Drosophila melanogaster: one gene and its partners. The protein of the gene in region 2 interacts with the protein of the main gene of each other region in a pairwise test. Each region holds a gene or a part of one and is shown on either strand. Other genes may lie near its edges.

Region 1 (7,549 bases), on a different chromosome or scaffold from region 2:
GCACAGGACCTGTGTATTTCTCCAGTTTTTCCTACACTTTTTGTACGCCCGGGCAGAGGGTGCGACATGTCCTTCCTCTGGCTAATGGTAACTGGAAATGGCAGCAACTCGCGCCAAGGCTGGGCGCCAATTCTGTTTGCTTTTACTTTTCATAAGACAACAATTTCGGTTTCGCTACAATTTTCCGTGCTATTGGCCCTGATCGGGTTGATGAGTCGCCCACCACTCGCGGCCCACCGATATTTGGCCTAAAACTTTGTGGCTACCCGAGCGCACGTTTCAATGGCAGATGTCGGCCATGCATCAAGGTGTTTCGGGCCAAGTTACCACCTGAAGTTGTTGGCTCGCCTTCTCGTTTTAAAATGCGACACAGTAAAAAAGTCTTTGTTTTTAAATGGCTGGTAGAATGCATGTTATCTGTGTTTTATCTGTTTTTAAATATTCCTATTCAATTGGAAGCGCAAAAGTATGCTAAACTAAACTTTTTTTCTGATATAGCATACTTCTTTAAAGGTAAATAACAACAATAAAAGACAATTATAAATAAAAGATATTTATCTTGTTAATATAATATAATATTAATATATTAAACTAAGGTAAAATTTTCATGACTTAAAAAATAAAACTGTTTTTTAACCTATTTTATAGAGGTACAGTTTTAAGCTTATCGTTTTTCTTTGCAGTCTGATTGTGGCCAAAAGTCTGGCTCCAGTTGGCCGTCGATTTTGCCAAACGACAATTGCACTGCATTCGGTGCCTGTTCTGGGCTCTTGGCCAAACTCCGCAGTTTGGTCCATGGCAATCGCGCTGATTGTGCAATGCAATTTGGCCGTCGACTTTGTCTCGCCTTGGTTAGGCAATTGAATTGCCCAAATTAGCTCTCGAGTGGACTGAAAGAGAAGAATGGTGGCAAACTGCTTCCGTGGCTTTTTAAATCGCTCCTGCTTTAAGGGGAATCCGGAAATTGTAGAAGTCTGAAGAGGTACTCTCGAAAATGGGTCAATACCACCCACAGCTAGCTCAATTGCGCACAAATAATAAAGTCAACCTTTTGTGGTCGTTTGCAATTTTATTGTATTGCTATAATCTGCCATATAAAGGATGGTTCAACAGACCACATATGAATTTGAGATGGTGATGGGTTTTCAAAGTATCCGTGTGATAAAAACAAAGCTTAAATAGTTTTTGCTTTAAACGCGTTGCACTTTAAAGAAGTCCTTAGAAGGTCAGCCATGCACTCAATAATATAGCTTTGCATTGTATTTCTAGAAAAAATGTCCTCTTTTAAGACAAGTGCTCATATTTCTGATATGAGTTTAGACCTATAGACGGATTGAATGTAAAAACTCTGAACGCTTTTCTAACAGAATCTTAAGAACACCTCATTTAGTAACATATTGCCATTTTTCAGGACAACACCGTGGCCATGCCTCCCGGAAAGTTCACTTGTAATGTATTTAAATGAGAGACATGCCCATAACCAGCGCCGTTTTCCTACTGGCCCACACGTCGTGAGTGCAAAAGTTTTGCTATTATTAAGGGCCTCATTGTCGGTTTTGTTGGACCCTTGGCGACTGTCCGCCGACACTTTCCCGCACTTTCCCGCCACATTTTCACACACGAAAAGGGGGGATGTAGTTGGTGGAAAACTCCGCCCCACTTGCTCGACTGTCCGGTCCCCAACCACACAATAAAGAACAATATATTTCACACAACTTTGTTCATATTTTTAATGTCAGGAGTATAATTATTACGTTCATTGACTTTGTTAAGTAGCCTACTTTATGCTAATGTGATTTCATAGCACAAAATGGAAATGGCAAATGGTGAGAGGGCCAGCAGCTTTGCATAGAATATTTTTACATAATTGAATGTGCAGGTCCTTCAACTGACAGTTACTGGTAAAGCTTAAGTTCTTATGTGTCATTATATATATACACATAACGTCTAGATTCGTTGGGAAAAATTGATTTAAATGTTTAATATAATTCAAAGAAGAATATTATTACATCTAGCTTGAAATGGGATCCTTCACCAATTATTTTGAAAATTCCGAAGCAAATACTTGGAATACTTGGAATTTATTAAGTACCTCGTTGTTATAACTAGTAGTTGTCTCCAGTTAACATAAAGCTATTATAAATGTCATAATAAACAACCGCTTATCAGTACTTAGCCGACGAGTGCTTAGGGCTCAATTAAATTAACAACAATTACGTAAATGGAAAAGAACAAAACCCACCACGTAATGTTTGGGTTTAAATACGTCATCCTAGGCGGAAAACAACAAACCAAAATACGCATACTAAATCGATTTCTCGAGCTATTTCTGTACATTCACCTGTCCTGCATTGCTAATACGCCGTGTTGCTCGCGCGTTATTTAATGTTTGAGCCATCGATGTCGATGTCGTGCTGCAATGTCAATATCAAAGACACTGCGCACAGCAAGGTTGCCGAAGCCGTAGTAGTTTACCGCCGTGCAATTGCTGAATTTCTGCTGTGCGGCTAATTGAATTTAGAGGGGCGACAGGTGCCACAATGCCAGGTATAAATGCCGGATTGCCAAAGAGCGCTAATTAATAGCCTAGTGGACCACGCAACGCGGCGTATACCATCGAGAACGAGCGCGAAACGTTAAAGGCACATCCAAAGTTTAAACTATTTCCGCAGAGATTTTGATAAACAGCTCCAAAATGGTGGTCAATTTCAAGGTGTTCAAGAAGTGTTCCCCGAACAACATGATCACGCTCTACATGAACAGGCGTGATTTTGTAGATTCCGTGACTCAGGTGGAACCCATTGGTAGGTGTCACAGACCGAAACCCTTGAGCAATGGGATTTACGAATGAGGAAATCCATCAAAAAATAAATTCGTGTAGGAATTGGTACCCATATTCGATTGAAGTATCTTATAGTTTGAAAATAACTTCAGTGTAACTTTTGTTTCAACTTAACACATTGGAATTTTTAATACCTTCCTTGAAAAGTGATATCAAATCAAAATTATATTATAAAAACTCCATTTCGAATCTGCATATGCCGACCAGCAAATATAAACTCAGGGAGTTATTCAAAATTGCATCTGAATTCAATAGCCCAGGGAGTTAAGTTAAATTGGCTGCGCTAGCAGCTAACCAAGTTCATCGATTACGCGAGCAAGCAAACCAAGAGGCTGGGCGCTTGTAAATAATATTCTCCAATTAATAAGCGTCCTCTTGCAGATGGAATCATTGTGCTGGACGATGAGTACGTGCGCCAGAACCGCAAGATCTTCGTGCAGTTGGTCTGCAATTTCCGATATGGGCGCGAGGACGACGAGATGATCGGTCTGCGGTTCCAGAAGGAACTGACCCTGGTCTCGCAGCAGGTGTGCCCACCCCAGAAGCAGGACATCCAGTTGACCAAGATGCAGGAGCGTCTGCTGAAGAAGCTTGGCTCCAATGCCTATCCCTTCGTGATGCAGATGCCACCAAGCTCGCCGGCCTCGGTGGTTCTCCAGCAGAAGGCCAGTGACGAGAGCCAGCCCTGCGGAGTCCAGTACTTCGTAAAGATCTTTACCGGAGACAGCGACTGCGATCGATCGCATCGCAGGAGCACCATTAACCTGGGCATCCGCAAGGTGCAGTACGCACCGACCAAGCAGGGCATCCAGCCCTGCACCGTCGTTCGCAAGGACTTCCTTCTGTCGCCCGGAGAGCTCGAACTGGAGGTCACCCTCGACAAGCAGCTGTACCATCACGGCGAGAAGATCTCGGTGAACATCTGCGTGCGCAACAACTCCAACAAGGTGGTGAAGAAGATCAAGGCCATGGTGCAGCAGGGCGTCGATGTGGTCCTGTTCCAGAACGGTCAGTTCCGCAACACGATCGCCTTCATGGAGACGAGCGAGGGATGTCCCCTGAACCCGGGATCCAGCCTGCAGAAGGTCATGTATCTGGTGCCCACCCTGGTGGCCAATTGCGACCGCGCAGGCATCGCCGTTGAGGGTGATATCAAGCGCAAAGACACAGCTCTGGCCTCGACCACACTGTGAGTAAAATTTATTCACATCATAGCTTAGCAGATGAAACATTAATATTATACTCTATTAAGTATCAACTTAAAATCATACCATAAAATCAATCAAATTTTAAAGTTAGGAACCTTTTTAAAAATCGTATTTTCCCGGTGACTAACAGTTCTTTAGCTAAATGTGTTTACAAAATGGCATAAAACGCATACTAATACTAAGTGAAAAATGCATATTTAAAATTCTATTTCAGTATTGCCAGTCAGGATGCGAGGGATGCCTTTGGCATAATTGTTTCATATGCTGTGAAGGTCAAGCTTTTCTTGGGAGCCCTGGGCGGCGAGCTCTGCGCTGAGCTACCATTTATTCTGATGCACCCGAAGGTAATAAAAGGTGTGCCCAAATATTTGAATAGTTATTGAAAGGCAATCAATTATTTACAGCCAAGTCGCAAGGCCCAACTGGAAGCCGAGGGCTCCATTGAGGCCTAAACTGAAAGGGCTACCTCAACCAACGAAAAAAATGGCGTATTTCTACAAGTCAAACCGATTTTTGTAGATCCTAAAAAATGCTGATGTTGCTGAAATGTTCTGAACTGCAGTCGTCGTACTTTTCCTATATAGCAAATCCAATATCCATATATTGTATGTGTGTATGTGTATTATATTTATAACTCAACTAACAATTAAATATGAACAGAGTTTATGTATGTATTTTGGAGTATTCTATTGAATTTAGCACGGTGTATTTGAAAAGGCTCCAGCATTGAAAGTTTGTATGGAATGCGCACTAAATATTTAATAATGTGCTTACGAAGGCATTTCGTAGTATTTGATATCTTGCAATGTCTGCTGATTATGTACATTGAAGTGCAATGGGGAAATCAACAGAAGCCAGTGCAATCTATTCAATTACTAATAGTGGGTCTTGCATTTGTGGCTTAGTAATTCCAATTATTGCTACTCTGAAAAGCCGAGGAGCAGCCTAATTAATACTTGGCCACTATGCTGGAGGAAGTTTACTGAACTGAATTCGAGTAAGGAAAATGGACAATAATTGATATAATATGGTGAGCTTCTTGCTGGACTTTGAAATCGTAAAATTTAAGCGAACACACTTCAAACGCATCCATTTAATTTGTGAATGTTTGCAGTCCCACTTTTAATAAGCACCCAATATTAACGATAACGCCACTCTAATCAAAATTTTCCAATAGTCAGGGTTGAAATACTGATCAATCACGCTGCCAACATTTCGGCAGACCAGGTGGGTAATGAGTTTAAAATGGTTTTGCGTAATGGGATTAATCGAATTTCATTAAGGAAGATTAGATTGCCGTCTTTGGAAGTGATCTTTTATAGTGGCTGACCATAAAAATTGCATTGCAAATACTAATTTAAGCATACATGCTATATAACCGATAAGATGGGCGAGCGTCAAGGCAAAAATAGTTGACCGTATTAATAGTTTAATCAACTAGCTTCAAGTTAATTTATAATGCGAATTAGGAAGCACTCTGGCATGCTATTAAAAACTTAAGAACTGATAAACGAAACTTAATTCCTAAAATAAAAATGTACCTAATTACTTTTATATACTATTATAAATAAAATTGTACCATGTATCGTTAAATTTGATTTAGTTACCAAGTGGTATTTGGTACGTGGCAGCATGAAATAGCTACTACTGCTAGTCTGGCTGATTAGCCAGCACTCTCAATAAACTAAGTGCAGCGTTTTGCATTTATCAGGATTTTTGGTACTCTAAACACACACTTAGATCCCAATCACCCCACAGAATAAGTTGAGCAAACCAAACCGAGCTGATTACCACAGTAGACATGATGATTAGCCGCTGCTTTATTTACTAGTGGATAATCTACTAAGCGACGCATGAATAAAAACTCGAGCGATATTTTTCCACTTTGCAGTCGCTCGAAAGCCTTTGTTTCGTCTCTCAATATGTGCTGCAGCTGCTGTGGGGTGACCCAACAAAAGGCCTGGGTCTTCGGCCTGGGAACCTTTTTCGCGGTCTCCGGACTCCTGGCCATAATATGCTGGCCTGGCTTTATAGACTCAGGGATTATGAAGGTGAGAGGCGGTGTATAAAAATAAAATTAAGGAGGAGTACTAATCGATTTATTAAAAAGGCCTTGCCGTTGACACCCACTTCAAAGACTTTTGAAAAATGGGAGGAGCTGCCCATTCCGGTGTATGTCTACATGTATCTTTGGAACTGGACAAATGCCGCAGATGTGCAGGCTAATGGAGTAAAACCTATTTTCGCGCAACTTGGACCCTATGTTTATCGAGAGGAGAGGAAGAAGATGGATCTTGAGTGGCACGACAATGGCACAGTTACCTTTAACCCCAGAAGAACTTGGTTCTGGGAAGAGGAGCTCTCTGGCGGCAAGCAAACGGATTTAATTACCGCCCCACATTTACCTTCATTGGTAGGAAATAAGCAGTTATTAAAAAACAATTTGGTCTAAAAGAAGTTTTCCTTTTTCACTTTTTGCAGGCTGCTTCAAACCAAATGCGGAATAGCAACGTCTTCCTGAAATTCATGTTCAACGAGGCCCTAAATGCGAATGGTGGACATCTCTTTGTGACCCACACGGCAGCTGAATGGCTGTTCGAAAGTTTCTACGACGAATTTTTGCATTACGCCATGACCCTGAATAATCCATTGGTCCCAAAAATCGAGTCGGATCACTTTGCCTGGTTCCTCAACCGTAACGGATCGAAGGACTTCGAGGGTCCCTTCACTGTACACACCGGAGTGGGTGACATCAAGGAGATGGGTGAAATTAAGTATTGGAAGGGCCAGAATCACACGGGATGGTACGATGGAGAATGTGGACGTCTCAATGGCAGCACCACGGATCTTTTTGTGCCCGATGAGCCCAAGGAGAAGGCTTTGACCATCTTCATTCCGGATACTTGTCGGATCATAAATCTTGAGTTCACCGGACAGAGCGAAACAATTCAGGGCATCACGGGTTGGAAGTACGAGATAACGCCGAATACCTTCGACAATGGACAGATCAATGGTAACGCGAAGTGCTGGTGTCCTTTGGAGCGCCAGCCAGATAATTGTCCTGCAACCGGAGCCACTGACCTAGGACCGTGTGCCGATGGAGTTCCCATGTACCTTTCTGCGGATCATTTTATGTACGCGGACGAAAGTTATGGCAGCACGATAAGCGGCTACAATCCGAATTACGATCAAAATAACTTTTATATCATCATGGAGCGCAAGATGGGAGTGCCGTTGAAGGTCAATGCCAATGTGATGATTACCTTGTACATAGAGCCAGACAGCGTTATAGAGTAATTATTTACAATAATTGTTGCCTACCATATATATGACTTGATAAACACATTTTTTCCTAGCATACTGAAGGGCCTGCCCAGCTTCTATGCACCACTTTTTACCACTGCTAGTCGAGCGGAAATCGACGAAGCCCTCGCCTCAGAACTTAGGGTATGTTTTAGAGCTTGTTGAACTACGTTGATTTCTATTTTAAATAATGCAT
Region 2 (6,147 bases):
TGGGGAACTCGTAACTCTGGCGGCCGGCGTCTGTTCTCAAGGCCATCTTCTGTCGGTCTCCACTGATGGGTTTTGTGTGTTTATGGGTTTTTAGAAAGTGCGAGTGGGGCTCCGTTTTTCGAAACACGACGTTCTGTGGGGGCCATCAATCTGGGCGAGTGTCTCGAACGAGGCCAAATGGATCTCTTTTTGTGCGCCGGCCCATTTCTGCGGTTGAAACAAGAAAAATGGTTGCTCCGGTGTATAATGTGTTAAATTGAATGTTAATTAGTGGAACCCCCTTAGTTTTTTTCCCCCTTTTTTTTGGGCTTTGTGCGGCACAAACCCCCCCCCCCCCCCTCCCTCCCTCCATTCCCCTTGAGTCCGACGCTAATAAGCCAGATTGAAGAGACCACAAAAAGGTGTCCCAAAGTAGTTCACCCGCCGCAAACCCGTTGCGTGGATGGAAAAAAATATAATATCGTAAATGAGCCAAACCCGTTTGCATGTGCGATTTCGTTCGATTTTTATGTTGAATTTAATTTTAATGTGATTTTCCGTTTGGTAGTTTAGCCAGCCCCCTCCCTATATATGCTTTTTAACCTCCGCCCTGATTAGTGTTGCCATTTTAGCCATTTTATTGCCAAAACCATCTAACTAAGTAAGCTCTGCCAATGATCTATGCTAGTTAACGTTTCAAGTTACCATTTTTTTTTCAAAACTCAGTTTTTAAGAAGTAAGTAAATATTTAACAAGTCGGCAGTTTTAAGTTGTAAATAGGTGATTAGCTCAAATGTTAGTATCTAAATCTTTTATATTATTACTTATTTTGCATTGTGCTACCACTACTACTTAATTGAACATTGCAAACGGTCTGGTGTACATAAACAATTATAAGTGAAGCATATTCTTAATTGAAAATACTTAAACTTTTTAACAGTTTTCACAATTAGCTGCCAACTTATGTGGCTATGTCCCCTCAGCCCCTCAGCACCAGTCAGCCGTTTGTTTGTCTTGATTTCATGGTGACGTCTTTTGCGGCGGCTTCTTCTTGGTCCGCTGGCCGCTTAAGCCTGCTCTTCTTCTTGCCCGGCGTCTGCCGTTAGTGCCGGTGTGCCACCGCTGCAGTTGGAACGGGCTCTCCAAAACCGGGGCTTTTCTTCGAAGACGGCCGGCAGCTATAAATTGACTGGCGGCTGGTAGGGACCGGCATCAGTCGCAGCCTCTAGCTCATCCAGCACAGTCGCTTGAAAACGCAGAAACCTCAACTCAAGATGGTCAGTGAAGGATTACAAGTTCAGCTTGAAACAAGGATACATCGATTTAACAATATTATTTGACAAAATTTTTTTTTTTTTTGCGGTGCTTAAAAAATTTGCTGTGTTTGTAATGTGTGAAGTGTGTTGTCCTACTTGCAGAAATTCCTTATTGCCTTCGCCCTGTTCGCCTGCGTGGCCGCCGATGTTAGCCACCTGAGCAACGAGTACCTGCCCCCCGTCCAGAGCTCGTACGCCGCTCCCTCGGTGAGCTACTCCGCACCAGCCGTGCAGCAGACCTACGCCGCTCCAGCCATCCAGCAGTCGTATGTCGCCCCCAGCAACGAGTACCTGCCTCCTGTGCAGACCTACTCCGCACCGGCCGTCCAGAGGACCTACTCCGCACCAGCTGTCCAGAGGACCTACTCCGCCCCCTCTGTTAGCTACTCGGCACCCTCTGTGAGCTACTCGGCTCCATCGGTCAGCTACTCCGCTCCTGCTGTCCAGCAGTCGTACTCCGCTCCATCGGTCAGCTACTCCGCCCCTGCTGTCCAGCAGTCGTACTCCGCTCCATCGGTCAGCTACTCCGCCCCTGCTGTCCAGCAGTCGTACTCCGCTCCTGCCGTCAGCTACTCCGCCCCATCGGTGAGCTACTCTGCACCCTCCGTGGATGTGGGCACCCAGTACGCCTCCAACGGTGGCTACGTCTACAGGAAGTAGGGATCTTCAACGAAGAGGCCTGCAACTGAACACGAAACAGTGTCCATAACTACATACTGCCCAAATTAACCATATATTTTTTTTTTTTGTTTTGTAAACTTTTGTTTACAACGAAATAAACCGAAACATCAATAATCCAAATAAATACTTTTGTTTTTAAAATGGGTTTCAGAGTTATAAAAACAAGCGTCTAATATTAATATTAATAAAATTTTTAACAAGTGTATCCCTATTCACTTTATATCAAAATTCCGGACCAGGATACCAAAATAGCGTACTAAAAACCACGCGCGACTTGAGTGCGGTTTGGTTGCGGTTTAGGTGCGGTTTTGTTGCGGTTTTGATGCGGTTTGAGTGCGGTTCGTTTTCAAAATCGAACGTCAAAAGCAAGTGCTTGTTGGTGCTTAATACTTCAGAGTAGACAAAAGGTGGCACTTTATAAGCCAATAAAAATATAATAAAGTATACGAATGATATGTCCATACAAAGTAAAGAAGATTTATTGGCATTAGTCTATAATGGTAATTTTCAAAATTAAAAAGCTTAATTCTTCGACTAGTTAACACTAAAACCTGTAGGACAAGAACATAAACATTTAACATACATCAATGTTTTAACTAAGTATTAGCGTTAAAAAATATAATATAAAGCTTTAATTAAGTTGGGCTTTTTATAAACAGCTTGCAGCTTTGATTAAACTTGGAAGCTGCGACTATTTTAAGCATTTTCAAAGAGCTTTTAGTTTAAATATAGCATGAAACTTTATGGTTTTCCTAGTTTTAACACTAAGCTTTTGAGTATTTCAAAACTATGACTTGCAGATACATTTTCTGAGAGTGCTTGGCATTTCTGAAAAATTATTTACTCAAGACTTTTTGAAATCATTCAAAACCATTATTTAGTATATTACAGTAAATAAAACGAACCTCCTCGACGTTTTTCCTGTTTTTAATTAACACCCTTTTGCTTTCAGGTAGTAATTTTTAAAATTTAATATTCATCATAAAGCTGAGCAAGAACTTGAATCTAAATCAAATAAAATGTTACCCTTTCATTGTTCTTTCTTTTCGTTTATTGAATCTTTTTCATTATCGCCTCTTTTCTTTGTGCGATGCTGAATTTAACATTCGATTTCGGCGTTAGTTTATTTATGTAAAATCCGGCCGCTAAATTAAATTTTATAGTTCAGTTTTGGCACCTCCCCTCGCACCTTCGATCACCTTTGGATTGGCGATTATTTATGGAACCTTTGTGATGATGCAAAGCAATTTCCGTTCGCCGAATGCGAAAGTGAAATGAGCCGGCCGCGAATTTATGTAATATGTTGATATGCCGTCTTATATATGGCGGATTTGGGGCCCGTGGCCGCATAGCCACCGTCGCCGTGCAAGTTCCCAGAGATCAAACCGGAGCTCGAGATGATGCAGCCATGGGCCGTTGTGGTCCTACTTCTGCCCCTGATCAACGGAGATGTGAGTCACCTGCCCAGGGAATATATACCGCCCAGTGCGGAACTGGAGCCAACCACACGGTCTGCTGCTGATGGCCAGGAGGTGCAGAAGGATCCATCTGGATTCTATCCATCGACTGGACTGCCACTGCCGCCGGGCTATGCCATTCCCACGGGCAGCAACGTTTTGCCACAGCCTGTCCAGCCGCCAAACTTCCCTCTGCCCATCTATCCACCATTCTACGGCTTCGGCGGAGGTCCTGTCGAGCAGGGAGGAGGACATGGTATTGGGCCAGTGCCTTCGGCCTATCCCAACGGAGGTGCATTCCCGGCGGGTCCTACCAATGGAGGCGCATTCGCAGGGGGTCCTACGAATGCGGCCTTCCAACTGCCACCAGGTGGTCCTTTCGGTCCGCAAGCTGGTAATTTTGCCCAGCCAGGTGGTTTCCCGCAGGCAGGTGGGTTTCCCCCACAAGGAGCTGGCTTCCAGCCACAAGGCATCCCTGGCAATGGATTCCCAACGCAAGGAGCTCCCTTCTCACCACAGCAGGGAGTGTTCCCATCACAAGGAGGTGCCTTCGGGCCACAGGGAATACCGGGCAATGGTTTCCTAGGAGGTAACTTCCCGCCACAGGGAGGGCCCTTCCCAGGATCCGCATATCCACCGGAGTTCTTGACAAACCAGGGACTTCCCCTCACAAATCCCCAGGGTCCCTTCCAAGGACCCAGTCCAGCAGGATTCAATGTGCCCGCAGGATTCGGCGGACCTGTGCCCGGCCAGAATCCCTACCAACAATTTGGACCCGGTTTCGGAGGACCCGCTCCGCCGGGCTACTCCGATGAGCCGGCGAAGGAGCAACCAAAGGACAGTGAGAGGACAGTAGTGGCACCACCATCGGCCGACGATCCCAAGAGTGTGGCGGATACGGTTTACGCATCCAATGGCGGCTATGTCTACAAGAGGGCCAAGTAATGCGATGGCTTTCGAAGCCCCAAATTGGGGAGTTCATCAAACATGTTCGCCATAAATTATGATCCATATTTTGTTTTTTTTTTTTCTTGTATTTTTTGTGCCTTTGTTTTTATTCATTTATTTGATCTGCTGGCCATAAAGATGCGGACAGACAAAACGATTGTCTCTATGCTAATCGAAATCTTTGCCAAAACTGACTGATAACCATAAACGAGACAATCTATCGTCGTGATTGATACATATATATAGACAGACCTATGTTTTATGCATACCCTGGCCAGACACATATGTGTTCATAAACTATGTTGTCTTCAAAAGTCAATACAAGGCGATTAAAGGCTGAAATAAAAAACACGATTAGTGGTTTGGGTGTGGACTAAAACCGAAGTCCTACGATAATTATGCACATTCACCATCAAGGTTTATTGAACTCTGATATGTTTCTGGATGGAATTAAGTTTAAACAAAATGGTACAAGAATTAAAAAAAAAAACATCCACAACTTAAAAGCAGTAATAGTTTATCATGCAACAACAATGGATCATTAAAAATGGATTTATGTTTATCATTTCATATTCTAAAATAAATCCAACTTAAAAACGAATAAATTCAAATGATTGTCTTACATGTATAAATTTTGAATTGACGTCACAGAAAAGAGGTAGAGAAAGAAGCTGCCCACCTAAAGGGCAAACTTAATCGATTTAAGTTAATTTCAGCGAAATTCAAAGAACCTTCTGAGTTAATTTTAGCTTCGCGATATTTTTTTTTTTTTTTTTAATTTGCCAAACTAGTTTCTGACGTCAAAGAGTTTCCCCTAAAGAACATACATACATTTATGATAATGAACTTCTTTTCGTGAACTTAAGATGGTTATCGAAAAGGGGATTTTTCCATAGTTTAAAACCAGACTTATTCAACTCCCATGTTTGGTTTCAAAAGTCTATAGACTTCAACTAGCCCGAATTGATTTTTTATTCATCTTTTTTTTTTTTTTTTGATGTCTCCACTGAATTATTTATATGTGGCTTTTGATTGTGTTGTTGTTATACAGTAAATACATTAAAAGTCTTTATAACAACTTTTTTATGGCTTTGCCAAATGGTAAAAAATGTCTTTTTGTCTTTTGGGAGAGCTTTTGTCACCTTTTATGACACGCTTCATCAACTTACATTAGTTGGTTCATATACTTACATCAAGTGGTTTATCAACTTACATCAGTTGGGCGGTTTAGTGCTGCTATTTACTTCTGGTTGCTTAACATTCATTTGTATTTAGTGTTTTACTACACTTTCAAGTAAAATAACCTTATAAAGTAAAACAATATATAAAATAATGAACTAATTTTAAAGTATTTTATTAAAGCAGTATTGCTCTTCAGGCAATATATCACTTTTTAACAAACTTTTTTGCAATTTGCTTACTTATTTAGATATAGATTGTAACTAGAACATGTATATTATATCTTATACATCTGAGTTTTTCTATCTTTCACTCAAGCTCAAGCCCTTCCGTTTGTCGTATATGCAAATCGAAAGTGGCTAATCCAAATCAATTCAGCAGCTTTGTTGCAATTTTCGCTAAAGTCGAACTCAGCTGAATATTCATCACGATCGTGAGCTATAGCTTTTGGATATATAGAGGCTGTTCGCACAGCAATTAGTCATAATTAAGGCAGACTGTGCCCGCGGTTGTCAGAGGCCCTCAACTTGACATTTTCCTTTGTGGACTCGAACCTTAACTTGTTTTCAATTTGTCACATTTCTGCG
Region 3 (5,808 bases), 3.3 Mb from region 2:
CTGGCGACATCGAATCTAGTTATTCACGAGACGCGTCTAATCAATTGCAGATGATTCATTTCGAGAGCCGAACCCCATTCATCTCCCCAACCTTGATATGCATATGTAACTCAATTGGTGCTATTTTCATGGACTGCGCTGTAGAGTAGGCAATAGTAATTGAATCGCACTCTGAAGACAAACTGAAAGTATCCTGATAGAGAGTTGCATTATCTGCAGTGGAGCAATAATAGACAAGGTGTATATTATTTACCATTATTTAAGTATTTAGGTCAAGGTCGCTTGGAGCTTGGGGATACGATCCATTATGGGGGTGGTGGTCACCGCTTGAGCGAGGGACTTGACTTTGTCGTTTGGCCAGTCGCACAATGCACATGGATGGATAATCGTGTGAAGTATTCTTGGTCTTGGCTGATGGTAATATGCAATTATGCAAAGTGCAAGTTCAGCGGAAAAGGCCATGGTTTTGTTTTGCTTTGTTGTGGATTTGTTGTCGCCACACCATTGTCTCCAGGTCTGAGATTAGCTAAGGTAGCCACCCAGATGCAGCCCACTTCGACCCACTGCCACCCCAAAGTTCCCATCATCATCATCATCGTCGTCATCATAGTCAGCATCATCATAATTTTCAGCTTCATTTGCTCGATGTACCTTGCTTGCGGTTTTTTTTTTTTTAAAGCTGCATTTGGATCGCTTTAGTTTTCAGTTTTTCTGCTTTCAGTTAACCAAGCCGCTCTGTTCAATTATAATTAAATCTGTTTGTAAATATAATTGGTGGGCGTGCGACTGGCATGAATGATGCAAGATTGCTGCCACCGTCGAGCGTGATTTGCTTTTGCAAATTAGAACAACGAATCATGGCAACGCCCCGGGGAAAATGTTACCTGTCTAATCTGGGATTTGGTTCTTCCCTTCGAATGCACTGCGAAAAACAGGTGCGTATACTTCAATGGAAAAGATACAACATGAACTGAGTGATATACAAAGATAGAAAAACTCTTGAATACAATAATGGATTAGAATGGTCTTAAAATTCTGAGATGAAATATGCAACTTAAATGATATTTGAAAAAATCACTATACTAGTTTTGCTCCACATTTTTTTATGCTTTTAACTGGCTCTATCTCAACTGACAAAGTTCTAAATCTGATTTTTGCACCGTGCTTGCTTTTCCTTGATTACTCATACGCCCCGTGTGCGCGGGTTGGCCAAGAAATGGAGGCTACCACTTACCGCGAGATTCACGGGCTGCCCGTGTAATGGGCTTTTAGGCCTCGGCATTAAAGAACCATTGTCTCAGTGGGGTAAGAGCACAAGAAAAGAAAAAAAAAAACGAGAAACTCCCAGGCCATCGCCAAAGTGCACCCATGGCCAAGTCAACTCATAGCAGTCGGCAGTAGCTTCGGTTGCCTCCCTCCATCCATCCCTCCATCTATCCATCCATCCCTCCAACCATCTATCCATCCATACAGTCAGTCGAATCAGTTAACACTTTTCACATGCCCGCCGGGTCGAACAATGTGAACCCACTCATATGGGCGGTATGACAAGCGTATGTATATACTATGTGGCTATCCACAAGCATGGCATCGACAACTATTTTGACATATTTCGTAAATATCCGTGGATAAGTATCGCAATGCTATTGGCACACGTAACTTCAACTGCACAGATACAAGCTACAGTTTTGCAGTTTTGGAAAATGGCAAACGGATATAGATCGTTATGTTCTTAAATGCTACTTTATTATTCAAACACTTGCTAAAGTTATTATTAAAGTTATTTGAAACATCTGAGTACTTTTTAGTTTCTTGTACTAAACTCTATAGATTAAATGTACTTAAATGTGGAATACCCCTGAATTTATGCTAAAACTATCGCCCAGATTGGTAGAACCTAATTCAGTCCATTCAACCCAATCGAAGTTACGACTCCAATCCGTTAGGTTTTTTAGAAAATGTGTCAGCAATGTTGGTTGGAATGGGGATACTTAGCTTAGGCACTTGGCCAAAAAGCCTCTAAGAAATTAACAATTGCCACCTTTGTTGGCGAAATTCAAGCATTCAGATCCGCCTGGCTCTTCTTCTCTGCGATGTTTTGTTAACAATTTCAGTTGGCTTAAATAAGCGCTGGAAAGTGAAAACCCAATTCGATACTGTTGTTCATGAAATGAGTCACGTACTAGCCGCAATATTTATCTATCTAACTAAATCGTTTCAACTGGACTCGCATGATTGCTGTTACGTTTTTTTTTTAAACTTTGTTTTCAAAGCTGCAATCGTTGGGCATTTTCGCGTTTTATGTTGACCAATTAGCTGTTTCAGGGTCAAGTTAATGATTCAATTAGCATTTGTCATCATTGTTATTGCTTCTCCTGAGCGGCGGCGGTATAATTGATCCCCCAGATCGTGGGAATATTCATAATGATGTGTGATCACACATCAACACGCCCAACCAGCTTTTCATAAGTAGATCATTCGAAAGGTATTGTTTTCTTCAAGAAAAGAGTTAAGATTATAAATATGTATTTAATATACAATATTAGCAATCTAAGTTGATCCAGAGTTGTTCCATAAATGGGTTAAGTAGAGCTCATCTGATTCTGGAAACTATCTAATCCAGGATATAAATTCAATCTAATATGTTTGATGATTAAGCCAAGACCCATCAGCATACACGTTGTCCAGTGGCATGCGTCATACATACATAGGTGGCAAGCAAGGCGACACGAATCTCTGGGATGCAACAGTTGCGTCCAACTTCGCGGCTCGAGTTCGCTGGGATTGGAAGTGGGCTCGGCGGGTATAAAAGCGACTGCCGGCCCGGTGGGGAATCATTAGACAAGTGTCGAACGGCGCGTGCGCATCATAGTCTTGAAGGAGCAGTTAGCCACCAGAAAGCAGTGAACACCACAAACCGGCAGCCACAACATGAAGTGCTTTGTAAGGACTCGCCAAAGGATCTCTCGTGGATTATAATTTCCCAAAAACTAGAAAATGATTTAAAAAACACAGTTCGTTAAAGTGAATAATAAGTTTTGAAAGCATTGTATTCCAAATGCTTGATGTTCATTGTTAAATTATAAAGTGTATTTAAATTTTAGTTTAAAGTTGATACATATTTTTTACATTTTTTTTATTACATTTTTGAATATGTTTTATGTTGCTTTTGAGAATTTGTTAAACAAAATACTATTGTTAAAAAGTACTTTTCACTTTATTGAAATATGTTTTAAGTGGTAATCTTTTGAATATGATACATTTTGGTGACGCTTTATCCTCGCGCAGTTTATCCTGATAGCAACCAGTCTGGTGCTGAGTGCCTATGCCCAGGACGCGGCGGATTCTGACCTGGAGCAGGTGGCATCCGCATCGGCACCGGATGCGGTGGCCGTGGAGGATCAGGTGAGCGCCGCCAGCAGCTATGCCCCGCTGCAGGATAAGAAGCAGGAGAAGCGCTATGTTGGTGGATACGGTGGCTACGGAGCGGGCTACGGCGCGGGATACGGCGGCTATGGCGCCGGATATGGCGCAGGATACGGCGGCTATGCCTCTGGCCTGGGAGCCGGCTATGGAGGAGCGTACGGCAGTGGCGTCGGCGTTGGCGTGGACAGCTACTACAATCCGTACAGCTCGCGAGCTCTGGGTGGATTAGGTGAGGGTGAGCTTGAAAGAAGACTCTCAATCTCTTGCCGAAGACTCGTAGTATACCAACGCTGTTTCTCAATCCCCAGATGGTGCTGCAGTGGCCGGATACGGAGGCTATGGATCCACTCTGGGCGGCTATGGATCCGCTTTGGGTGGCTATGGATCCGCTCTTGGTGGCTATGGATCGGGACTTAGTGGTTATGGTGGCTCCTACAACTCGAATCCATACGCCCTGTCATACTACAACAGCAGGCTGGGCGCTGGAGCCGGCACTGGGTATCCGTACTACAACACCCGATTCGGCGCTGGTGGCTATCCATCCAGTTACTATACGAGCAACTATGGCAACAGCGTGGTGGGCGGCGGCTTGGGCGCTTTGGGCGGAGTGCCGCCCATCGGATCGGGCTATAACTACGGTTCCGGAATCTCGGGAACCGTCTACTAGACACCGCACGGTCCAACGTTCAAGATCTAAGCTAGTGGAATTTATTTTTTTTCATCGATATATTTTTTTCTAACTTTATTTTTATTAAAAGATGCTACAAAAAAATACATTATCATAATCGTCATTTAACTAGAAAGTATATATTTATATATGCATGTAATCTCATTGGGGCGATGGATATGCGCCATGCTTGTCCTTGATCACCCAGAAGGAGTCGACAATGGCGCCGTTCTGGTCATCGGACACCTGCTCGAAGTGAAGATGCGTGCCATTATGTGCCTTCAAGCGGGTGTATCCGTAATCCTAAAGAGATTATAGAATTATAGTATTCCGTTTTGATATTAAGCAGGTCATTCAATTACATTGCTATGGTAGGCATTCCAGATGGGCAAATCGTTGGAGAAGGGCTCGCGCTCCTCCTTGCAGCCGGCGGAACCCGTGATGATCTGGATGGGCGCCTTGGGATTAGTGTATGGCGCCTCGGCACTGCCATTGTACACCTTGTAGTCGTAGATTGGCCACAGGCGAGTGTAGAAGTGTTCATGCGCAAAGATCTCCACGTCGACGCCGTGCTTGTAGAACAGATCCTCCAGGCCGAACCACTTGAGCATGGGCAGACCCTGGCGAATGTACGTCTCCAGTTGGCTATTGCAATCGTACTCCTTGTCGTCGCTGCAGTACATCGGTCGATGACCGTAGGTGATGATCCACGGACGTTTGGCCCGATTCTCGGGCAGATTGGCCTCGGCCAGGTCACGTTCCAGCCACTCGAATTGCTTGGTCAGCAACTTGAAGCCATAGCTGAGGAAGTAGTAGACCTCCGTGGAGAAGGAGACAAAGTGCACGGGTCCCAAGTTGAAGCTGTACCACAAGCTGTCCGTTTCGCCGGGCATATTGAAGCGGGCGCGATAGTTGGAGAAGTTGCTGTGATGGGCCAAAGTAAGTTAGGTTTGAATAGTTAACACACCGGCATCATCAAATACTTACTACTTCTCCTCGTGATTGCCCGGACAAACCATGTAGGGCACATAGGCAGCCACCGACTCGATCTGGCGCATGAATGCATCACCCACGGCAGCGTTGGAGGTGTCCATGTCGTAGGCAAAGTCACCCACATGGATGATGGCATCGTACATGCCTCGCTCAGTGTCCTGCTGTAGTCGGCCCATCGACTGGGCATTCTCGTTGCCCATGTCACCGAAAATGGCCAACGAGGGCGACCACTTCTCACCCGCCGGTGGCGTCTTGAAATTGAACACCGCCGACCAACCGAGCGGACTGCCGCAGCTGTACTCGTACCGCGTGTCCGGCTCCAGATCCTTCAGTTCCACATTGTGTATGTACTGAGTGCGAGCCTTCTTTCCACCATCGACGAATCGCTGCCAGGTGCCGTTCACCATTATCGGCTCGTCTTTTAGATAGTTCCGCGAGAATTTAACCACCGAGGCGTTGGGGGAACTTCGAGTCGACCATGTCACCACAATATCACGAAGATTGTCTACAACAAAGTTCATTAGCTGGGATTATTCTCACTTTTAAAGACCCAATTTATATTTAAAACCATCTCGTTTTAAAAACAGTTTCCCCTCGAATTTCGTACTTAAGACTATAGAATCAGTAGGCCACAATCATTGCCACTCATACATAGTTGTTTTATTTGAGCGTATAACTGTAATTACATTTCATTAAAATATATATGTTTAGAAGGAGGATAG
Region 4 (10,158 bases), on a different chromosome or scaffold from region 2:
CTTTAGGTTATGAGACGCTTTCTTCTTCATGTATCATTCTTTCTAATGAGTCTAGTTTAGCCTGGTAACTCTACGAGTAGATGGAATAGCTGATCCCAACTGACACTACTTGTCTGGATGCACTTACCTGTGTGTCAACAAAGAATGCATCTAGTGCGTCTAAAAGCAGCCAAAAGGACCACCTGGGTGCCGCCTCCAATGCCGATGATCGAGCTAATGGCCGCCAAGGCATGGAGCGATGACATGGGGTTCGGTCTAACGAGGAGGATGGACGGCAGGTGTCACAGCGACGGGCGCACTCTCTTCATCCATCCGCTTGGGCCGCACCACTCGACGCGGGGAATCCGGATCCCGGCCAGAACTTCAAACGCTTGCCGCGCACTTCGTTTATTTACACAAGAAACAAGTTTATGCCCGAGAAGAACCATTCGCAGGCACTTAGCAGGCGCTCGCGTTTATTATCTTAATAATAATTTCAGAGTTCAGGCGGCGCTCTTTGACGCACAACTAGGGATTCCTGCTCGCATGAGAATGGGATTTGGATCGGTATCTCTGGGTCCCGACCAACTGCACCGTGCGAACCGGAGGCGGCAACTAAGCGAATCGAGAATCTGTTGGCACTCGCGCTTCCCAAGAGCCAAGTGCACGCCAAGCGATTTGTTTATCCATCTGCTGCGTACGCGCGAATTTGTTCGTTATTAATTGCAATAAATGGTGTCGGCGTGGGCGCTTTTATTTATTTCTGTTTTTTGTTTTTGGTCGGTATGAAATGTTTGTTTCTAATTTTCGCGTAACCGAAATATTTGAATAATTCAGCGCCCTCTGGTGGCGGGTAGCGTTTGATGGCGATGGTTGTGGTTACGCATTTCAATGCTTTTCAGCACTGGTAATTTAAACAACTCAATTTGAAATCTACAAATATTCAAACCTTTCTTTTTCAATATTGCCTTTTGAGCCACAATATTTAGTAAGTTTATTTATTTACAGATATTTTCATGCTTACACTTATGTAATAACCCTTCTTCGTAATACTTTTGCAGCTAATCTACAACATTCTAATTTCAGTTAATGACCTGACAAGGTGCCACATCCTCGATCTCCTCGCCATCGAGGGCTTTGATTTGGCACTGGCACAGGAACTGCACGATCTTACGCTCGGCACTTGCCCGCTCAGACGGACTCAGTCCGTCCAGCAGCATCTGAGCCTTGGCAAGCAGGCTGTTGGCAGGCTGTGTACTTCGCTGTTCTCGCTCCTGCTCCTGTTCGTGGTGAATCTGGGCCTGCAGCTCCCGGGATTGCTGAAGCACGGTCTCCATGTTGGCAATCACGGTGGTCAACAGTTTGTCGGAGATGGCGGCAGACGGTACAGAGTCCCCAGGGAGAGAGGAGGACTCCTCTACGACGGGATTTACCCTGGCGATTGTGTGAATTATTTCCTCACTGGTGGCCGGCGTGGTGGTGGTCACCTGGAGCTGCTGTGGTGGCTCCAAGTCCTGCCGTGCCGTCGCTTCGCTGAGGATAAAATCGTACGGCGTTGCTTGCTCCGCCTCCGATAGTATCTCAATCTCTTCATCGTAGGCCAACTCAAGATCATCCTCCAGATCGTCGTTGTCCGTACTGTAGGGGTAATCAGCGCCCCAGATTTGCTCACCACTGGAGATCACCATTCCCTCCGGCTGTTTGCTGGTCTTTCCCGAAGGATTTCCTGCTTTGGGTGGTCGTCCACGTCGCTTGATGTTCTCCAAAACCAGGGGCACTCCTTTGCGGAAGTGGCGGCCCAGAAAGAGAAGGTCGTTAAAGTACCTCCACGTGATGGGCGTGGACTGGTTGATCTGATGACTGCGGAACTCCCGCCCGAAACGATCACGCAGCTTCTTCCAGCGGTTGTAGCAAAGTTCCTCTATTGAAAATTATCGGCATTAAGGGCTGAAGATCAAGAGGGTTACCCCGAGCTCACCCGACACATTTAGGTTTTCAGAAATCTCTCGCCAGGCTTCGTTTTTCGCTGCTAGGTTCTTGGAGACTCTGATCTTGTGACGATCATACAGCACGGGATGAGACTTGACCAGCTCAATGAGCTGCTCGTTCAGCAGGTCATCCTGGGAGTCCTCCTCCTCCTCGTCCTTTCTCCGCCTCTCCTGCTCCATGTCCACTTTTGTGCGCTTTTTCCGCTCCCTGGGCTCAAAACGCATCCCGTCGAGACTCTCGTTCCTTGCCAGTCCCTGTTTGTAGTGATCCTTGAGAAAGAGCAGTCGCGGAAACATGTCCCAGTAGGTGGGCTCATCCGGACGCTCCTGGAAACGGCGAAACTCCTTGCCGAAACGATCGCGAATGCTCTTCCAGCGCGTAATGCACGCCCGTTCCGAGGCTCCTAACTTCTGGGAGATGGCCTTCCAGGCCGCGTCCTTTTGCGCCGCATTCTTCACGCTCCTCGCGCAGTCCTTGTCGTACAGGATCGGGTGTCTCTCTATCAATTTAATCAGCTCATCGTCGTCCATTGATTTTCGCTATTATTTGTTTTTATTTATTCTGAACGATCCGGCAGCCTGGCGGGAAATATTGATAGTCGATAGGCGATGGGTCATCGCACAAAAAGGGCTGCCAGATTATTCTGTTAAAAAAATGTGCCTCTTAGTTTTATAGCACCGTTATTATAACAATGTTAAATAAAATATTTGTGTGTTTGTCTTAAAATGTCTTAATACATATTTATAATTTAAAGTTCGTGTGTACGAATTTCGTTTAAAATATATTCTATTTTATATATTTTAAAGAAAATTCTCTTTATGTTTGTTAAAATCTGCTGGTTTGAATTTCTGTGTAACCTGATAACATTGATGGTCGATAGCTCGATACTTCAATCTTTCCATCGGTGAGTTTGCCCCATCTCTATTGTGCTACCTGGCAACGCTGTGAGCAAGGAAAATACGGCAGCGTGCTCCCCGTTTTCCATCCACGTTTTGTTATAATTTTATAAGTATTACGGTCTGAGACCGATTTTGCACTGCATCGTGCGCGCTGCAAGTACTGGCGATTGGAAATTGGAGGCGCGAAAAGAGGATAAGGTGGATTTTCTTGCAACTGTGTGTGTGAGCATTGGAATTCGCCCGTGTGTGTGGCGAGAGTGCGTCCATGTGTGTGTGACGGACCAAAAAAGCCGACATCAGCGCCCATTTTTTGTTGTTGATTCATTAATACGCCCGTCATGCACCAGTATTGGTGAGTTGGAGCAGCGCACCGTCTTACTCGCACTCAACGGAGCGCAGAAAGAGCGCAGGGAGCGGCAGAAGAAGAAGCAGCGAGCAGCAGCACCATTAGCGGCAGTCAACGTCATATAATTTGTCATCGAAATTGGCACACTAAAAATAACAGTTAACTTCAACCGCCATGATCCTGCTGGAAATCAATAATCGGATTATCGAGGAGACGCTGCTGGTCAAATACCGTAATGCCCAGGCTGGGTAAGTCAATGCCTTCCAGTCCCGTTTCCCCAATTTCCATTCCACCATTTTGATTTCTATGCTGCATTCCCCACCGTTCTGTTATCACCAGTCGGCTTTGTTATCAATTTCGTTAGCTCTCTCTTTCCTCGGGAATAAATTTGGGTGTAGTTCCAGCCTTGGAACACTCATCGCTGCAGCTCTCTCCCTCCCACACACGTACCCAAGTACAGTGCAGCCCCCTTACGTCGACAGCGTATTAGTTAATTCATTACAACTCGCTATTCGCATCATCGGTGCTGAAAATCTGCAAAACTGACTCATCCATTGACGTGCATTCAAACGCATACGCTTGTGATGATCGAAAATATTAGTATTTATTTGTTCCTAATCCCGAAAAAGGATATTATTATTGAAGAAACATTATCAAAGGAGTCGTGTTACGAAAGAAATATGTTTAAGCTAAACGGTTTAGAAGAAGCTTAGACGAAGCTTACAGACTAACAAAATTATTAAAATTAGTAAAATAACTTATTGTACTAACAGCACTATCAGCAGAAAGAGGTATTTGTGTTTGGTAGCGAATGATTAAGATCTCACATAAATAAATGTATTTAAATGCTAATAGTTATGATGCCATTAGTTTATTCCCGATAAGATTGCAGTGTAATGCCTGAAATTAAGGCAATAAAAGTTATAAATTGTGGAACAAAAGTGGCATACTTGGAAAAAATCTCCTGTTGTGTCTCAAATGTTCCAAAATAAACCAAAAGGACGAACGGCATCCTGAATAATCAATCATATTATAGCAGATGACTTGTGTTCGTGTACATAAAAACTAATAGTTTCAATATTACTCCCCTATTATCTGTATTCTTGGGAGACAAAGTTTACATGCTAAAGATTCTCCATTTTCCGTGTCTACAACGCTCCGATATAAATTGTAACGCTTAAATCATCTTGAGTAATTCTTTTTGTTTCTTAAGATAAATACTTTCGTGTACATTATTGCAAATTTTAGGCTTTGGAGCCAAAGTGGCATTCTTCAAAAACAATATTTGATCTGTGTCTCAAAAGCTCCAACATTAACTAGAAAGACGAACGGCATCCTGAATAATCAATCATATTATAACAGATGACTTGTGTTCGTGTACATTTGCCATAAAATGTTCAACTTTTGTAATATTCTGGAGTCAAAGTGGCACGTCTTACGATCTTCCTGTAACTTGTGTCTCAAATGCTCCAATATCAAACGAAAGGACGAACGGCATCCTGAATAATCAATCATATTATAGCAGATGACTTGTGTTCGACTACAATAGTATTCGATTTATTAGACCAATAATGCCTCGGGAGACAAAGTTTACATGTTGAAGATGATGTGGCTTCTTTTTCGTGTCTACAATGCTCCAAAATAAATTGTTCGTTTAAATCGTCTTATTCGATTTATTTTATTGCCTAAGATGGTTGCCAACTGCACAACAACTAATTAAATATTTGGGTGGAGTTAAAGTGGCATATTTTATAGCTTTCCTTTGATCTGTGTCTCTATCGCTCCAATATCAATTTTATAAGCGAACGGCATCCTGTTTAATTACTTATATTAAGACAGACGACTTGTGTTCGTGCACAACTTCAAAATGCTTCAATAGTCATATGGAGAAAAAGTTTACATGCTAAAGTATTTTTCTTTTCCGTGTCTACAATGCTCCAATATTAATTGAACGTCTAAATCATCTTGGATATAATTATATTTCCATAGATAAATACATTCGTTCACAATACATTCGTTGTTCATATGAAAATGGATTGGAGTCAAAGTGGCACACTTAATCCATTTTTATTTGTGTCTCAAATGCTCCAATATCAAATGCAAAGGCGAACGGCATCCTGAATAATTATGCATATTATAACAGATGACTTGTGTTCGCCTACAATAGCTCCTGATAGCTTTACATTCCTTTATAAGACTCCCGTCTTCGGAGACAAAGTTTACATGCTAAGGATAAGATCTTTTTCGTGTCTACAATGCTCCAAGAGCAAATGTTCGTTTAAATCATCCTTGGCATTCAATATTTTTGCTGTGGATGCATTTAATTCGTGCACATATTTATAGATATGTATGTCGTGGAGGTAAAGTGGCATTCTCGGGATATATAAACCTGCCTGTGTCTCAAACACTCCCAAATCAACTTGGTTGGCGAACGGCATCCTGAGTAATTAATAATATTACATCAGATGACTTGAGTTCGCGCACAATCGCTTTAAGATCGCAAAGTACGATTTAGGAGCCAAAGTGGCATGCCTTGGAACTTTTATCCAATTTGTGTCTCTAATGCTCCGATACTAATTATACAAACGAACGGCATCCTGTTTGATCCTACATATCACAATAGATGACTTGAGTTCGTGTACATTATTCAGAAATATTTGTTTAGTTCTTGTAATTGAATTAAACTAAATTTAGATATCGGCTTAGCGATCCAGATACAAATACATACGGATGTTTTAATTTATTCGAAAACGCAAAATATAATTTTATTGCTGCTGGTTTCTTTTGGAAAAATAATCGGGTATAAACGAGTTTATGTGATAAGATACGGTGGAGTGTGGGGAGCATGACTAATAAGCAAGAAAATAAATGAGAATTTACTTTTTAATTCTCTTTCCAGACTGAAGCCTGAATCGATAGACATACGAATAGCAGACTTCGACGGCGTCCTTTATCACATTTCCAATGTGAATGGCGATAAAACAAAAGTTCGGGTAAGTGTACCGCGTACTATTCATTTAGGATAAATCCAACATTAACGATTTCTCACTTTTCTTGGGCTGCGAAACAGATCAGCATATCGCTGAAGTTCTACAAACAGCTGCAAGAACATGGAGCCGACGAGTTGCTGAAGCGTGAATATGGCAGTCTGCTTACAGACACGGAAGAAGGTACGTTCGTGTTTAAGTTCGGCATTTAAAGAAGTTAATTACTCTCGTCTAATTGCAGGCTACAATGTTTCCGTACTTATCAACCTGGAGGAGATTCCCGAGGACTGCGAGCAAATCGCAAAGAGAATCGGACTGCTGAAGCGCAACTGTTTCGCATCGGTTTTTGAAAAGTATTTTGACTATCAGGAGCAGGGCGAAGAGGGCCAAAAGCGTGCCGTCATTAACTACCGCAACGATGAGACTTTGTAAGTCAGAAAAATATGTTTTTGACTCGTCCAAGCGCTGACAATCTACAATCGATTTGCAGATATGTGGAAGCCAAGCCTGATCGTGTCACCGTCGTCTTTAGTACCATTTTCCGGGACGAAGACGATGTCATTATCGGCAAAGTATTTATGCAGGAATTGAGGGAAGGTCGGCGTGCCTCGCACACCGCACCACAAGTGCTCTTTTCGCACCGAGAACCACCATTGGAATTGGCCAACACGGACGCTAGGGTGGGCGACAACATTGGCTATGTCACATTCGGTATGTTAAAGGTTGAATGGTAAACCATGTGCTGTGGAGCCAAAGTTTACACGTTAAAGTGCATTTGTCTTTTCCATGTCTACAAGGCTCCATATAAATAGTATCGTTAAAATCATCTTGAACATTCTAGTTTATAAATATATCCAATGATAAATACTTCCGCGCACAATAATGCATTAAAGTCACCTGTGGAGTCAAAGTGGCATGTTTTAAATTACAATTTGAATTGTGTCTCAAATGCTCCAATATCAACAAGATATGCGAACGGCATCCTGAATAATCAATCATATTATAGCAGATGACTTGTGTTTGTGTACAGTAACACACCAACCCAGAATCCCCAAGCTGAATTGTTCAGTGGAGACAAAGTTTACATTTTAACAGTATTATCGTTTTTATGTCTACAATGCTCCGAAATCAATATCCGATCCAATTATCCAAAGCAGTCTTATATTTCCTTGGATGATTTCTTTCGTTACAAAAATGTCAGTATATTCCATATGGAGTTAAAGTGGCATATTTTTAATACTTACCCTAAATCTGTGTCTCTAAAGCTCCAATATTAAATAAATAGACAATCGGCATCCTGAATAATCAATCATATTATAGCAGATGACTTGTGTTTGTGTACAGTAAAAGAATATCTTAGACTGCCTTTTTTAAATGGAGACAAAGTTTACATGTTAACAATATTATCGTTTTCGTGTCTACAATGCTCCAAAATCAATATATTCGATCGAATCATCCGAAGCAGTCTTATATTTCCTTGGATGATTTCTTTGGTGCACAGTGCACAGCTAATGTAATCCCAATGGAGTTAAAGTGGCATATTTTGTATACCTTCCTTCAATTTGTGTCTCTAATGCTCCAATATTAAATAAGTAGACGAACGGCATCCTGAATAATCAATCATATTATCGCAGATGACTTGTGTTTGTGTACAGTACTTCTTAGAATTGAACCGATGTTACACTTTGAAATATCCAAAAGAAACAAAATAGTAACGACTCATACTTGTTTTTTGCAGTACTCTTCCCTCGGCATACCAACAAAGAAACAAGGGACAATACCATTAACTTAATTCACATGTTCCGAGATTACTTGCACTACCACATTAAGGTAAGTGTTGTATGCAGCTATGCAAAAATATCTTTTATATATTTGAAATATGCATTTTTGAGCAGTGTTCAAAGGCTTACATTCATTCGCGCATGCGAGCAAAAACCTCGGATTTCCTCAAGGTGCTAAATCGTGCAAGGCCAGAGCCCAAAAACACGGAGAAGAAAACTATAACGTGAGCATTGGACTTTCCATAACGAATTCTGATTACTAACTCGTGTTCTTTTTGCAGGGGGAGAACTTTCAAGCGCATCGATTGATGTGTTCAGTATATTTAGTTGTTTTTATATAAATACAAAAAATAAATTGTGTATTAAAATTCGATATCCGAATGGTGAATCCAACATAAACTAAACCAGATTGCAAGACAAACCCAAGTATTCCAAACAGAACCGTAAGGCTAAATGTAAGCTCAGCAAAATAATGATCAAAGAATTAATAGTTACGCGTTAGTAAATGAATTGTGTGTGTTTGTGTCGAGTCATCGTCAAATCCGTGTCTCCGCCAATTTGTTACAGTCATAGGCCGAGTCAGCGCCACAGCTGAGCCGCATTTTAAACAAATAAACGTAGACTTAAGTGCAACATGAGAACTAAAACTACCATGTCAAAGCGAGCAACACGACTAAGGGATGCCACCAACTTGTTATATAGTCGCAATGGAGGATTCATCCCCGCAATTAGCCTGTATGTGTAGAAAGCGCATTTAAAAACGTACTGCAAATATTAACAAACCTTTGATACAGCAATCGGAATTAATAAAAACGAGAAAATCAAACTGCAATGTAAAATAAAAAAAGGGACACTCTTTTAATCTCTAGCTAGCTGCAGACGCTCGAATACACTTTATTTTCTAGCTTATTAGCTTTTAATTGCACATAATGTCTTAAATGTTACTAATATTTCGCTTAGGTATACCATCTCCGCTGCACAATACTATAACAGGCACTTAGATCTTAAACTTAACATTCTGCTTCGCGTTCATGCTCTCCATGCTGACCTGGAAGTTGAGATAGTCGCTCTGGATGCGGGCACACACTGAAAGAAATGTGTTGGGTAAACTAAGTTGGGACTGAGGAGCGCTTTGACTGTTACTATTGAGATGTGCTACTTACTTACAGTGGCAGTGTTCATTGCGATAGAGAGTTTACTGCTTAAGTACTTCCGATAGTTTGTACAGGGTGCGGGTGAATTTACAGAGCCCCTAGGGATCATCGTACTGTTCCAATTTGATATAAGCAAGTGCTGTGATAGAGAAGCGGCAGGGCGAGATGGATAGAATAAGTGAGTAAATCGCTTAACACTGGGAAAAATTCGTTCCAAGCATGCGAAGAGTTCTCATAAATTTGGAACAAGTCCAAAACTCAAGAAGATACTGACTTGAAATGCAATTTTGATTATTATTCTATTAGAAGAAGATAACTGAGAGTGAATATTTTGAATTTGAAATATTTTAAAATAACGTAACAATATTAAAAAACCATTTCAGTCGAAATTAAATTGATTACTGGTGGGATAACTGAAGATCAAAGTTTTGTATCGCAAGCTACTACTTTTCCGTTTATGTTATTTTAAGCCCCTTTTTATAAATTTGCTATCAAGATTGGAAAACAGAAGTGCTTTTCGTCCAATTGTGGTTCGGAACTTATCTTAAATGGTTGTAATGCCATAAAATACTACAATTAACAAGTTATTTAGACACCTAATTATTCAGCTGACTAGCATCTCTCTATAAGAAATCCCTTCACATTCAAAAACTTCAGAAAGAATTTTTCTCAGTGTGAGGTAACTAGCGTGCGACAAGAGGAGTCAGCTGGAGGAGTCGTTTATCATTTTGTATATATACAAATGCGTGAACTCGTGTGGGAGGTGGGTGGTGGATGGGCGGGATAGTGAGGATGGGTAGGAGGAGCTCCAGACAGGAAAAGGGCTTGGCTCGCATTAGGGTGACAGCGAAAGTGGGGCAGTTGGTACACAGGTTTTCTACGCGATGTGTATGTATGAGCGGGGGTAATGAGATGGCGGAGCCACTTTCTCACCCTTCTGCAGGTCCATGTCGTCCATTTCGGAGTTCTTGATCTGCTGCAGCTTCTCGCGGAACTTCTTTGTGATCTGCTTGCGCTGGTAGT

What was found.
Region 1: the proteins of CG11581 (region 2) and Arr1 interact in a two-hybrid assay, tested with the Drosophila melanogaster proteins (one large-scale study listed by BioGRID).
Region 3: the proteins of CG11581 (region 2) and CG2157 interact in a two-hybrid assay, tested with the Drosophila melanogaster proteins (one large-scale study listed by BioGRID).
Region 4: the proteins of CG11581 (region 2) and Arpc2 interact in a two-hybrid assay, tested with the Drosophila melanogaster proteins (one large-scale study listed by BioGRID).

Annotation. Positions count from the first base shown.
Region 1 is NT_033779.5:18,075,693-18,083,241, forward strand, and holds Arr1 (arrestin 1), read left to right. Parts: upstream 1-2,576; 5' UTR 2,577-2,695; coding exon 2,696-2,804; intron 2,805-2,956; exon of another isoform or gene 2,957-3,038; coding exon of another isoform or gene 3,039-3,105; intron 3,106-3,223; coding exon 3,224-4,031; intron 4,032-4,264; coding exon 4,265-4,394; intron 4,395-4,454; coding exon 4,455-4,502; 3' UTR 4,503-5,615; downstream 5,616-7,549. Other genes in the region: ninaD (neither inactivation nor afterpotential D), read left to right, coding at 5,973-6,101, 6,161-6,463, 6,532-7,343, 7,407-7,497. UniProt on the Drosophila melanogaster protein: Regulates photoreceptor cell deactivation. Arr1 and Arr2 proteins are mediators of rhodopsin inactivation and are essential for the termination of the phototransduction cascade.
Region 2 is NC_004354.4:14,173,574-14,179,720, forward strand, and holds CG11581 (uncharacterized protein), read left to right. Parts: upstream 1-3,349; 5' UTR 3,350-3,373; coding exon 3,374-4,378; 3' UTR 4,379-4,883; downstream 4,884-6,147. Other genes in the region: CG1368 (uncharacterized protein), read left to right, coding at 1,254-1,256, 1,398-1,955.
Region 3 is NC_004354.4:10,866,449-10,872,256, forward strand, and holds CG2157 (uncharacterized protein), read left to right. Parts: upstream 1-2,835; 5' UTR 2,836-2,931; coding exon 2,932-2,943; intron 2,944-3,288; coding exon 3,289-3,661; intron 3,662-3,734; coding exon 3,735-4,093; 3' UTR 4,094-4,255; downstream 4,256-5,808.
Region 4 is NT_033779.5:20,414,207-20,424,364, forward strand, and holds Arpc2 (Actin-related protein 2/3 complex, subunit 2), read left to right. Parts: upstream 1-2,850; 5' UTR 2,851-3,387; coding exon 3,388-3,461; intron 3,462-4,141; exon of another isoform or gene 4,142-4,275; intron 4,276-4,316; exon of another isoform or gene 4,317-4,448; intron 4,449-4,463; exon of another isoform or gene 4,464-4,598; intron 4,599-4,627; exon of another isoform or gene 4,628-4,761; intron 4,762-4,790; exon of another isoform or gene 4,791-4,927; intron 4,928-4,938; exon of another isoform or gene 4,939-5,075; intron 5,076-5,096; exon of another isoform or gene 5,097-5,224; intron 5,225-5,249; exon of another isoform or gene 5,250-5,379; intron 5,380-5,419; exon of another isoform or gene 5,420-5,550; intron 5,551-5,567; exon of another isoform or gene 5,568-5,702; intron 5,703-5,725; exon of another isoform or gene 5,726-5,859; intron 5,860-6,112; coding exon 6,113-6,206; intron 6,207-6,283; coding exon 6,284-6,383; intron 6,384-6,441; coding exon 6,442-6,628; intron 6,629-6,690; coding exon 6,691-6,911; intron 6,912-6,944; exon of another isoform or gene 6,945-7,068; intron 7,069-7,097; exon of another isoform or gene 7,098-7,232; intron 7,233-7,268; exon of another isoform or gene 7,269-7,394; intron 7,395-7,410; and 13 more. Other genes in the region: CG10949 (uncharacterized protein), read right to left, coding at 1,062-1,900, 1,958-2,498; CG15130 (uncharacterized protein), read right to left, coding at 8,979-9,067, 10,069-10,158. UniProt on the Drosophila melanogaster protein: Functions as actin-binding component of the Arp2/3 complex which is involved in regulation of actin polymerization and together with an activating nucleation-promoting factor (NPF) mediates the formation of branched actin networks.